2 linked regions of the Danio rerio genome follow. The protein of the gene in region 2 interacts with the protein of the main gene of each other region in a pairwise test. Links are inferred from orthologs where the notes say so. Each region holds a gene or a part of one and is shown on either strand. Other genes may lie near its edges.

Evidence for each region.
Region 1: the proteins of rchy1 (region 2) and aig1 interact in binary tests that used the Homo sapiens proteins (3 or more experiments, as listed by UniProt). The link is inferred for Danio rerio from reciprocal best matches to the Homo sapiens genes RCHY1 and AIG1.

What each region holds. Positions count from the first base shown.
Region 1 is NC_133195.1:40,767,583-40,774,124, forward strand, and holds the start of aig1 (androgen-induced gene 1 protein), read left to right. Parts: upstream 1-2,607; 5' UTR 2,608-2,800; intron 2,801-4,932; 5' UTR 4,933-5,062; intron 5,063-6,542. UniProt on the Homo sapiens protein: Hydrolyzes bioactive fatty-acid esters of hydroxy-fatty acids (FAHFAs), but not other major classes of lipids. Show a preference for FAHFAs with branching distal from the carboxylate head group of the lipids.
Region 2 is NC_133180.1:9,858,278-9,862,945, forward strand, and holds the end of rchy1 (RING finger and CHY zinc finger domain-containing protein 1), read left to right. Parts: intron 1-2,617; coding exon 2,618-2,788; 3' UTR 2,789-2,895; downstream 2,896-4,668. UniProt on the Homo sapiens protein: E3 ubiquitin-protein ligase that mediates ubiquitination of target proteins, including p53/TP53, TP73, HDAC1 and CDKN1B. Mediates ubiquitination and degradation of p53/TP53; preferentially acts on tetrameric p53/TP53.

The sequences.
Region 1 (6,542 bases), on a different chromosome or scaffold from region 2:
TTAACCAAATCAATAGTTTCCAAAGCAAACGTTAGACAAAAGTGCTCTGCGACCACATAGTTATACATTGCGTTTATCTCTTTGGAAACCCGAGTACTCTACTGAGGAAACTGACCATGCCAGAAAATTGTCCATAAGAAATGGAACAGGTAAGGCAAATGTTTTTAGTAAAAATCTTAAACATTGTTGTATTTATTTGAAGAACATACATAAAAACTGCAAGAAAATTGTTTTAAAAAAGTTCGGTATGAGCATGCACTTTGAAATGAATGGCATTAAGCTTAGGGGCCATCCAAATGTATTATTTCCAATGTGGCCCTTTTTTACTTATTTTGTTTTTTACTATTAAAACTATTTGCTTTAGTAATGTCAGTCAATTAAAATAAAGTGGTTAAATGATAATAAAATTTAAAAAACAATTATGGACTTTATTTCTAAATGGATTGTTAAAAAATATGACGTAATATTAGATACTGAATTATATAAAACATTATATCTTGATAATTTGTTTTGCCGTATTGTCTAGCCCAGACTAAAGCATGTATTTCCAATGAGGCAGCGTTGGTATTAGCAGTCTGTTTGCTTTAAAGGTGCTAATAGGTTGCTGGATAGATGGGCTTCAAAAAAAATTCTAATGATCATTAACTTTGCAAGGACATGTCGACGATGTTCCACTAGCCCTAACCCTAACCTATCAATCTATTAATACTCTACTAAAACTCTAATGAGTGTTAGTTGATATGTAGTTGCAAAGTTACTTAGTCAACACACCGTCTAAAGAAAACCATCAAAATAAAGTTTAACCAGGTTTTGAATTCTTTGTGCCAGTCTTTGCTGTATGGAATTTTACATCATATATATAGCACAATATATTTTATTTGATAAAAGATATATATATATATATATATATATATATATATATATATATATATATATATATATATATATATATATATATATATAAATAAAACATAATAGTTTTAAAAACCTATCTCTAATAACTGATTTCTTTTATCTTTGCCATGATGACAGTAAAAACTATTTTACTAGATGTTTTTTAAGACAATTCTATACAGCTTAAAGTGACATTTAAAAGCTTAACAAAGTTAATTAGGGTAACTATACTCTATATGAATTATAGAGTAATTCGGCAAGTTATTGTATGATGATTATTTGTTCTGCAGACTATCAGTAAAAAATATACCTTAAAAGGGCTGAAAATTGTGTCCTGAAAATAGCTTTTAAAAAATTAAAAACTGCTTTTATTCTAGCCAAAGTAAAACAAATGATTTTTTTCCAAAAGAAAAAAATATTATCAGACATACTGTGAAAATTTCCTTGGTCTGTTAAACATCATTTGGGAAATATTTAAAAAAAAGAAAACCAAAATCAAATAATAATTCTGACTTCAACTGCAAATATTTTAAAAAGTTTATGCGTTATGTAAGTGTTTATTAATGTAATTAAGCAGTGAGAGTTCAGTTAATTGCTCAAAGTGTCTTATGAAAATAAGGAAGGCTTGCAGAATGGCTCACTGAATCAATCAGTAAATCAATAACTTTTCCGTTTTCTCAGAACACTGACCTCTGAAGAAGCTTTATAAAATCGACAGAATTATCATTGGAAACTAGCCTATAGTGAAACAGTTGGTTCATGATTATCCATCCTTGAACCAACCAATACAACATAAAAAAATAATAATGAATGAGAGAATATGAGGATAAAGCTATTTTTCTGTCTTGGAAAGCAGCACAGTCTCCTGCTCTCTTCGTCTGCCTCATATGCACAGGTGCAGTGTTTTAGACAATGTCCCCTGGACTCTCACTGACCCTCAGCTGCACTTTCCGCTTTAAACCTTTAATAATACATGCAAAAAGAATATTAAATCATCTTTGCTAACTGTATTACAGTAGTTTATATCCAGATGCCTCAGGTATAAAGTCTCTCCGTGTTGAAAGTAATTTTTGTAGGCCTATTAGTTAAGACTTATAGTATATAAAAAAGGCAACATCAACGCTTTAAAAATAGCTAATTTATTCACTCAAACAGCTATCACAGCGTGTAGCACACCAGATCTTCATTAGTCTATTTTTTTGTACTTATTTTTGTTTGGCTGAAATAACAGATTAATACTTGTATGAGTTTTGAGTATGACCATAGAATACTTCCAAATACTCCAGTACTACTTGAATTGAAATAGGCCAATTATTAGTTCTTAAAATACTTTAAGTGTGACAGTTGTAAACTTAATTTCTACATCTAATATTCTACATTCCACTCTATCTATCTATCTATCTATCTATCTATCTATCTATCTATCTATCTATCTATCTATCTATCTATCTATCTATCTATCTATCTATCTATCTATCTATCTATCTATCTATCTATCTGTCTGTCTGTCTGTCTGTCTGTCTGTCTGTCTGTCTGTCTGTCTGTCTGTCTGTCTGTCTGTCTGTCTGTCTGTCTGTCTGTCTGTCTGTCTGTCTGTCTGTCTGTCTATCTATCTATCTATCTATCTATCCATCCATCCACAATGAAGTTGACAACTTACCTCAATAGGCAACTGAGCAGGTTCACAAAAACAGTGCACTTTAACTCCACCTAGTGTTCATTGTTCAGATGTGGGAATCACAGGAAGTACTGTTTACTAGGCCCGTTTGTACAGGCACAGTAGGTGTTTGTTCAAGGTTACAACGCGAAATAAAAAAGTAGGGTACAGTCATGTTTTACTTATTGGGCCTGGATAACGAGCAAGATAAGGTTGCATCCCGTTTGGAGGGACGGGGAATATATATAGGTGAGATATTCCCGCTCAAACCCTCAGCACTTCAGGGTCAAATGAAAATTGCTTAAGCAATTTGGCAGCTGCACATTTGCCTAAATCTGAAAATAATACCCACATGGTTTATGCACATTGTGAATTAAATTGATGTTGGAAAGTCGGACTATTTACTGGGGTATCTGTACCTTATTGTTACTGTTTACCGTTTGTTTTGCTGCAGTCTGTTTGCAATCAGAATGAGCTGTAGAGTTATTTAGGTCTGTATCCGATTCCCGGATAGTGTTTTTTTAGTGTTTTCATGTTTTAAGACAACTTAGAGATTTTTTTTTATTATTAGTATGTGGCTTTTCATCGCCAAAAACACGTTGTGAATTGTGTATTATAGCTGCTTGCTATTAATATTATTTTGGCTTTAACAACAAAACAATTATATTTTACCTAGCAATTGGTGTATGTTAGATTTGAGTGTTTTTCAGAATAGGTCTTCTACTTCAGCAGCACTTACACATTTTTTTTCATATGAGTTTTTTTCTTTCTTTTTATAAAGGGTTATCGTTATAAATTTACAAATTTATATTGTGCATACAATTCTACAAATTCTGAAAAGAAGCATTTTTGAAAAAATGTTAAAAACAGAAAAAAGTTTGTACCTGAGATTATTCAGTGTTCAAATTTTTGTGCTAGACATACAGTTGAAGTCAGAATTATTAGCCCCTCTGAATTATTAGACCTCTTATTTATTTTTCCCCAATTTTTGTTTAATGGAGAGCAGATTTTTTTCAACATATTTCTAAACATAATGTTTTTAATAACTCATTTCTAATAACAGATTTATTTTATCTTTACCATGATGACTGTAAATAATATTTTACTAGATATTTTTCAAGACACTACTATTTAGCTTAAAGTGACATTTAAAGGCTTAACTGGGTTAATTAGGTTAACTAGACAGGTAAGGGTAATTAGGCAAGTTATTGTATAACAGTGTTTTTTTCTGTAGACTATCGAGAAAAAATATAGCTTAAAGGGAGTAATAATTTTGTCTCTAAAATGATGTTTTTTAAAAAAACTGCTTTTATTCTAGCCTAAATGAAACAAGTAAGATTTTCTCCAGAAGAAAAAATATAATCAGAAATACCGTGAAAATTTCCTTGCTCTGTTAAACATCATTTGGAAAATATTTTAAAAAGAAGAAAAAAATTCAAAGGGGGCTAATAATTCTGACTTCAACTGTACATGTAAACTAACACCTACTTCATGACCTCATTTGCATATTCAAAGATAACATTTGAGAAAGCGGGTAATACAAAAAAGATCATTTCTAATTTTATCAATCTACTGATGAAGTATGATGACAACTATTGACATTATTTGGTTTTCTTATGGCTATAGATCAGGCATGTCCAAAGTCAGTCCTGGAGGGCCTTTGTCCTGCATATTTTAGTTCCGATCTTAATTAAACACACCCGAACAAGCTAATCAAGCTCTTTCTAGGTATACTAGAAACTTCCAGGGATGTGTGTTGAACGAAGTTGGAGCTAAACCATGCAGGACACCGGCCCTTGGGGACCGAGTTTGGACACTCCTGCTATAGATGATCTGAATATGATTTCTTCACATATCCTATTGCATTTGAACATTAAGCAGTACACAAGTATTACATTACAAACATTTCCCAGCTCTGCTGTCATTTCCTGGGTTTAGATCCTGGATTTGAGGATTTCAGCTTTATGCAGCTTTTATCCAGTTTTATTTCAATGTAATCCAATGGGCCATACCAAAAATGCCTGAATCATTAGACCCTTTTAAAAGTAATCAAAAATTAACATTCTGTACTATTTTTTCACAACAAACCACCAAACATTATTTTAAAAAGTGATAATGCTTTTTTCTTTCTAGACTGAAGCATCATAATGTTCAGGCACAGGGTAATGTTGCAGAAAGTCCTGCTAAAACAAGTTCACCACATCCTGTCTCATATTCAAGCTCTGAGCTTGGACACGCATTCACAGAAAAAAATTAAATGCGATTTATTACTGATTATCCCAGCAGGGAGCCAGGGAGCCGGATACAAAGAATGAAATAAGCTTTGTTTCATTCTGAGACACTTTCTTGTGGAAAACCATACATTTTCTCTTTGATTTCAGAATAAATTCTGTTCCACAATAACCTGTTGGGTGACTGTTCCAGACATCTAATGGAGCAGCGGTGGCATTTACAAGAATTCTCTACTGAGGGTGTCAGCCATCATTTCAATCTCAGCTGAGAGCTTGTCAGGTACTGATTTTGTCTCCTGCTTAACACACACACACACACAAAAAAAAACTACTGCAACTTTTTTGTTAAGTTTCTGTGATCCTGGAGTCCAATATTTTGCTGTGCTTTTTACCAAACCTCTTACTTAAATTAAATCTTCAACCTAAATATGAATAATCTAGGGCTTCACATTAACCCCTGCCAAATGCGGGTTGGTTTCACCTGTGGCGGGTTAGACAGACACCCTCTCTAGCTACTATGGCTAGTTAAAGAAAGTTTTCTGTGCTGGCTCGTCCTACTTTTCAAGAGCTTAAGATGTAAGCAGCAGCGGTTGACGCTTTTACTTTGACCATTCTTTGAACAGATTATTAAAGAGCCTAACATAAACTGTGTGTCGTGATCATCCTTTCTCTATCACACAGAATATTTTCACCAGCTTTATTTTGCTTGCAGTTATTTTTGTTAGTATGGTTTAATTATCCTCTTTTACAATAGCATTGCTCTATCTAAATTAAATCACACATTTTTACAAAGTTGTTATTCAGAATTCAGATTTTCATTTCTGGACATATTGTTCTTTAATATCTTTATCCTTGTTTTGTGCGACATGAATTTTTTTGAAGTTGTAAATGGATTATTGGAGTGCATTTTTATACAGTTATTCTACTTTAAAAAGTCTTGTTGAATTAAGTGTGCTATTTTCCATTTTGTTGTACTTTATTAAATGTACCAGTAATTCCTGAGTGACTGATTTTGTGACTGATGCTGTTGCAGAGCTTATTTGTCACACATGCATGTGTGCATTAGTATTGCAATAGTCCTGATAAATCCAAGGGCCGCATTTGGAGGATATGAATTAGATAAGACAACAAAACTAATTAAAGGTTAAGCAAAAGATAATGATGTTATTTTTGTGCCCAATCACAGTAATTACGCAACCAGAAAAATACACGTTGGTCTACTGCAACTTGACATACCGAACAGATTTTGAGGCTATATTTGGATAATTGAGCTCAGGCAAAGGTCTTTAAGAGTTATTGGGCAATTTCTCTGAGGCAAACATTGAGAGTAGTGGTTACAAATGCAAATTTTGTCTGATGACTTACCTCTGTGGATTTCTTTCACTGTGTTTGTGCACATTTTGCTACATATGTTTTCGTTCGTTTTTTTACTTATTTTTCATTACTGAATTACTGATTTCATACCTTAAACACTGTGCTAAAATTGTAGGCACATTAGATGCACATTTCATTTTAAAAGTGGTTTAAATGTTTCCTACTTTTATATATATATATATATATATATATATATATATATATATATATATATATATATATATATAAACATATATACATATATATATATATATATATACATATATATATATATATATATATATATATATATATATATATATATATATATATATATATATATATATATATATACATATATATATATATATATATATATATATATATATATATATATATATATATAT
Region 2 (4,668 bases):
GGAAAGTATATTAAAGTGAATAGGCTGGAGAGGGTGGCATGGTCAATGTTACAGGCCCCATTTACACTAATGCGTTTTCTTTTTAAAACGCATACATTTTGCTACGGCTACGCCATCAGTCCACACTACGCCGGAGTTTTCAAATGCCGAAAACGCTGACAGGCCCTTTTCATTCTAAAACGCTGCTGCTCCATCTCAGTGTGGATGGGGGAAAATGGAGACATCTGAAAACGGAGGTGGGCATTCACCTATCTGATTGGGGCTTTTCCTCAATATTAAGTAGCCTACACACAGTTCTTGCATCCTCTCGTTGTAAGTTCAGACTTCGCAAGTTTGATATGAAAAACAGACTCCCGAGGACATGTCCGGTAAATCTTCAATGGGAACAGTTAACTTTATAACCTCATTCACATCATCCTGGCTATGTTGTTTCACTTTCTCAACAATAAAATGAAAGCATGATTTAAGGAACTGCCTATTTTCATTTTGATATTAACAACTTAACAGACAGCAGAAATGTTGAGGCGTCGTGCTGCATATATGAGCTTCATCTTCACTGTGTGGATATTTATAACAAAACGGAGCCTATAACATTTCTGCCTCCTTTCATCTTCAGTACAAAACATTCCCTCTCTTCTGCTGAATATGAGTTTTCATAATCAATAATGGCCATTATAAAAGTATAATGTACAATACATTACATTAATTATTAACCTATCTTTACGCTCAGCCAAAACACGTTACCTGAGAACAAGTAACAGATTCAAGAGACCAAAGTCAGGAGTATGTCATTAAACAAAGACAACAAGATAAATGAAATATCACGATTAACAAATATAGTGAGATTAGATCTAGTTTGAGACCCTTGATGAGTCTGACGAGCACAGCTCTCATCTGACTCGATTTGCTGCAGCGCATGCCAGAGTGTGTGTGTGTGTGGTCATGTAATGTGCGTTTTCCGTCGTTTTGGTGTAGACGGAGAGCTGTTCAGAAACGCTGGGTGAAACGCTAGTGAGGATGCGGATCGTTTTTATTCTAAAATGCTGTTTTAAAACTAAAACGCACTAGTGTAGAGGGGGCACAATATCTAGTTTTTTTCTTGTGTGATATACAGCATCAAAATATATTTCGAATTTACGATTACGATTCGTAAATTCGATTGCCAGAATGACAATATAATATCAACATAATGCGAGTATACTCTTCCAAGATCATATTTTATTCCTAAGAATATTTAATTTACTTTTAGTCATTTTAACAGTTTAGGAATTAGGCATTGAATGTGAAAATACATCCTAAATAAATAAAAATAAATGTTAACAAACGGTGTAAGGTAAAGTCACAGAGGCTGTGATATCTGCTACCAGATCTATTTTCAGTTGTCAGACACCCAAATCAAAATATACTATAGTAATTTGTAGTAAACACTATAGTGCTTTTTTTAACCATACTGAAACTGACACCTGCAATAGAGAGAGAGATGTTGCACAGTCCGCTAAAGGGTTGCTAGAATTGGATTTTATGTATGGACAATATATACAGTTGAAGTCAGAATTATTAGCCCCCTTTAATTTCTTTTTTTTCCTTTTTTTATATTTTCCAAATGATGTTTAACAGAGCAAAGATATGTTCACAGTATGTCTGATAATATTTTTTCTTCTGGAGGAAGTCTTATTTGTTTTATTTCGGCTAGAATAAAAGCAGTTTTTAATTTTTTAAACACCATTTTAAGGTCAATATTATTAGCCCCTTTTAGCTATATTTTTTCGATAGTCTACAGGACAAACCATCGTTATTGTTAAGTGGTGATGTGTTTATGACGTATGTATACTGCTTCCGGGTCCAAGCCGCCATTCATTTGAGTGAAGAAATCATTCGTTTATGATCACGTTTTATTCCTATCACACATTAAAGTTAATTTTACATAAAGTCATAGTGTACACAACAATCTCTGAGCTTGCTGCATAACAAATACCAAAATCTTAACAATTTATAAAACAATGAATCACTTTCTGGCCATTGGATATTAGGCATGGACATATATATTCCGATCGAGATTTTCGAAAGTATTAAATCGCTTTGTAAACGTTTATTATTACCATTTCATGAATCTCCCCATTCAGTTGAATAGAGCGCTTGGACCCGGAAGCCGCTCCGCGTGACGTCACACTTAACAAGCGGATACAATAACTTGGCTAATTACCCTAACCTGTCTAGTCACCTAATTAGCCTAATTAAGCCTTGAAATGTCACTTTAAGCTGTATAGAAGTGTCTTGAAAAATATCTAGTCAAATATTATTTACTGTCATCATGACAAAGATAAAGTAAATCAGTTATTAGAGATGTTATTAAAACTATTATGATAAAAAAATGTGTTGAAAAAATCTGCTCTCCATTAAACAGAAATTGGGGAAAACAATAAACAGGGTTAATAATTCAGGGGGGCTAATAATTCTGACTTCAACTGTATGTATTGCATCACCAAAAATGATTGCGGTCATGTCCGTGTGTTGAGCGAAATGTCCATATGTATATTGATTATTGTGTCAGGCCTAGGTTGTTTTGATTAGTGGAAAACCTTTTTCTCCTGACCCATGTGTGTGTTATTTTCTTCAGATCATATGCAATGACTGTCAGGCTCGCAGCACCGTCTCCTTTCACGTGTTGGGCATGAAGTGCAGCAGTTGTGGCTCTTATAACACAGCTCAGGACGGAGGGCTAATGGGAACTCCTGCTGCAAACACACAGACGCTTCCGGAGGAGCCCGATGCCGAGCAGCACCACTGAAACTCCCAGATAAGCTTTTACTGGCACAGAGATACAACGTTCACTGCTTCCACATCTGTACTTCGGCTCATTGTGTTCTGCTTGAATAAAATGATTGTTAACCTATTGATTTGAGCCACTTTGGATTGATTGATTAATTAATGAAATGGAAACCAACTGTGATCCAATACACTACCTGAATAAAGTCTTGTCGCTTTTCCAGGTTTTAGGAACGACTAATAATAACTTGACTTCTAGTGGGTCATTTAGTATCAGAAGTGGCTTATGTGAAAGGCAAAGGCCTGTAGATTACACGTATTTTACCAAAAATATGATCATGAGTTGATTTTTAATTATTTAATTAAGACAGTAAGCCCTGACTTTGCTTAGACAAAAGTCTTGTCACTTAACAGAAATAATGTCCAGTATAGAATATGAAGTCATGCTGCAGTGGAAACAGAATGAATATTGTGTCTGAGCTTGGAGGACTGCATCCACACATCTCTGCAATGACTCTAATCACTGATTAATAAAGTCATCTGGAATGGCAAAGAAAGCGTTCTTGCAGGACTCCCAGAGTTCATCAAGATTCTTTGGATTCATCTTCAATGCTTCCTCCATCTTACCCCAGACTTGCTCAATAATGTTCATGTCTGGTGACTGGGCTGGCCAATCCTGGAGCACCTTGGCCACCTTTGCTTTCAGGAACTTTGATGTGGAGGCTGAAGTAGGAGCGCTATCAACTGTCTTATTAAATGTATTAAATGTCTTGATAGCTCAGGCTGTTGATGTTGCCGTCTACTCTGCAGAACATCTCGCACTCCCCCATACTGAATGTAACCCCAAACCATGATTTTTCCTTCACCAAACTTGACTGATTTATTTAAGGATCTTGGGTCCATGCAGGTTCCAGTAGGTCTTCTGCAGTATTTGTGATGATTGTGATTCTGTTCAACAGATGATTCATCTGAAAAATCCACTTTCTGCCACTTTTCCAAATGATCAACTAGAAGTCAAGTTATTATTTGATGCTCTTACAACTGGGATCGACGACAAGACTGGTTAGGTATTGCACACATTTATTTAAGCAGTTTGTATAAAACATTTTTTTTTCATTTATTTATTTATTTATTTATGTTGTGAGTCCTCTTTCTGGTTTATGAAGTAAAGCCTGCTATATAAGCTTGTATTCATTCAGCAGCAATTACAGCTGTGTGTTGATTCTTATATCCCAATTCGATTCTCATAATTTTGATTTAATTCAGATCTACAGTGGCCAAGAGAGCTCAATGTAATGAAATGGAAAACAACTGTGATCTAATAGATATGTAATAGATAAGCATGTGTCTAAAAAAAATACTATTATGTTTTACTTTTATTTATTTTATCAGTCCTCAAGTACGAGGAATATTTTCTATTTTTGAAGTAATCTCTAACATAAACTTATATATTCAGCATTAATAATGCTGCTTATTGTTAGGACTTAATCAAAATTACGAGATAAAAAGTTTGAATGGTGCCTTTACTCAAAATGATAACTTAATTCAAATTACGAGATAAATGTTTGATTTACTCAATGTCAACTTTTTGAGATAGTTTAAATTACGGCTTACTAAGTCAAAGTTACTAGATAAAAAGTTTAAATTATAACTTAATATGTTGAGATAAAGTTGAAATGGCTTAACTCGAAATTGAGAGATTAAAAATTTAAATTATGACTTAATATTACGAGATAATTTAAATTATGACTTGATCAATAATACGAGATAAAAAATAAAAATTATGACTTAAGCAATATTAAGATAAAAAAAGCTTAAATTATTGCTTATTAACCCAAAATTGAGAAATTATTTCTTACTAAATTAAAATTACAAGATTAAACGAAATTATGAATTTATAAC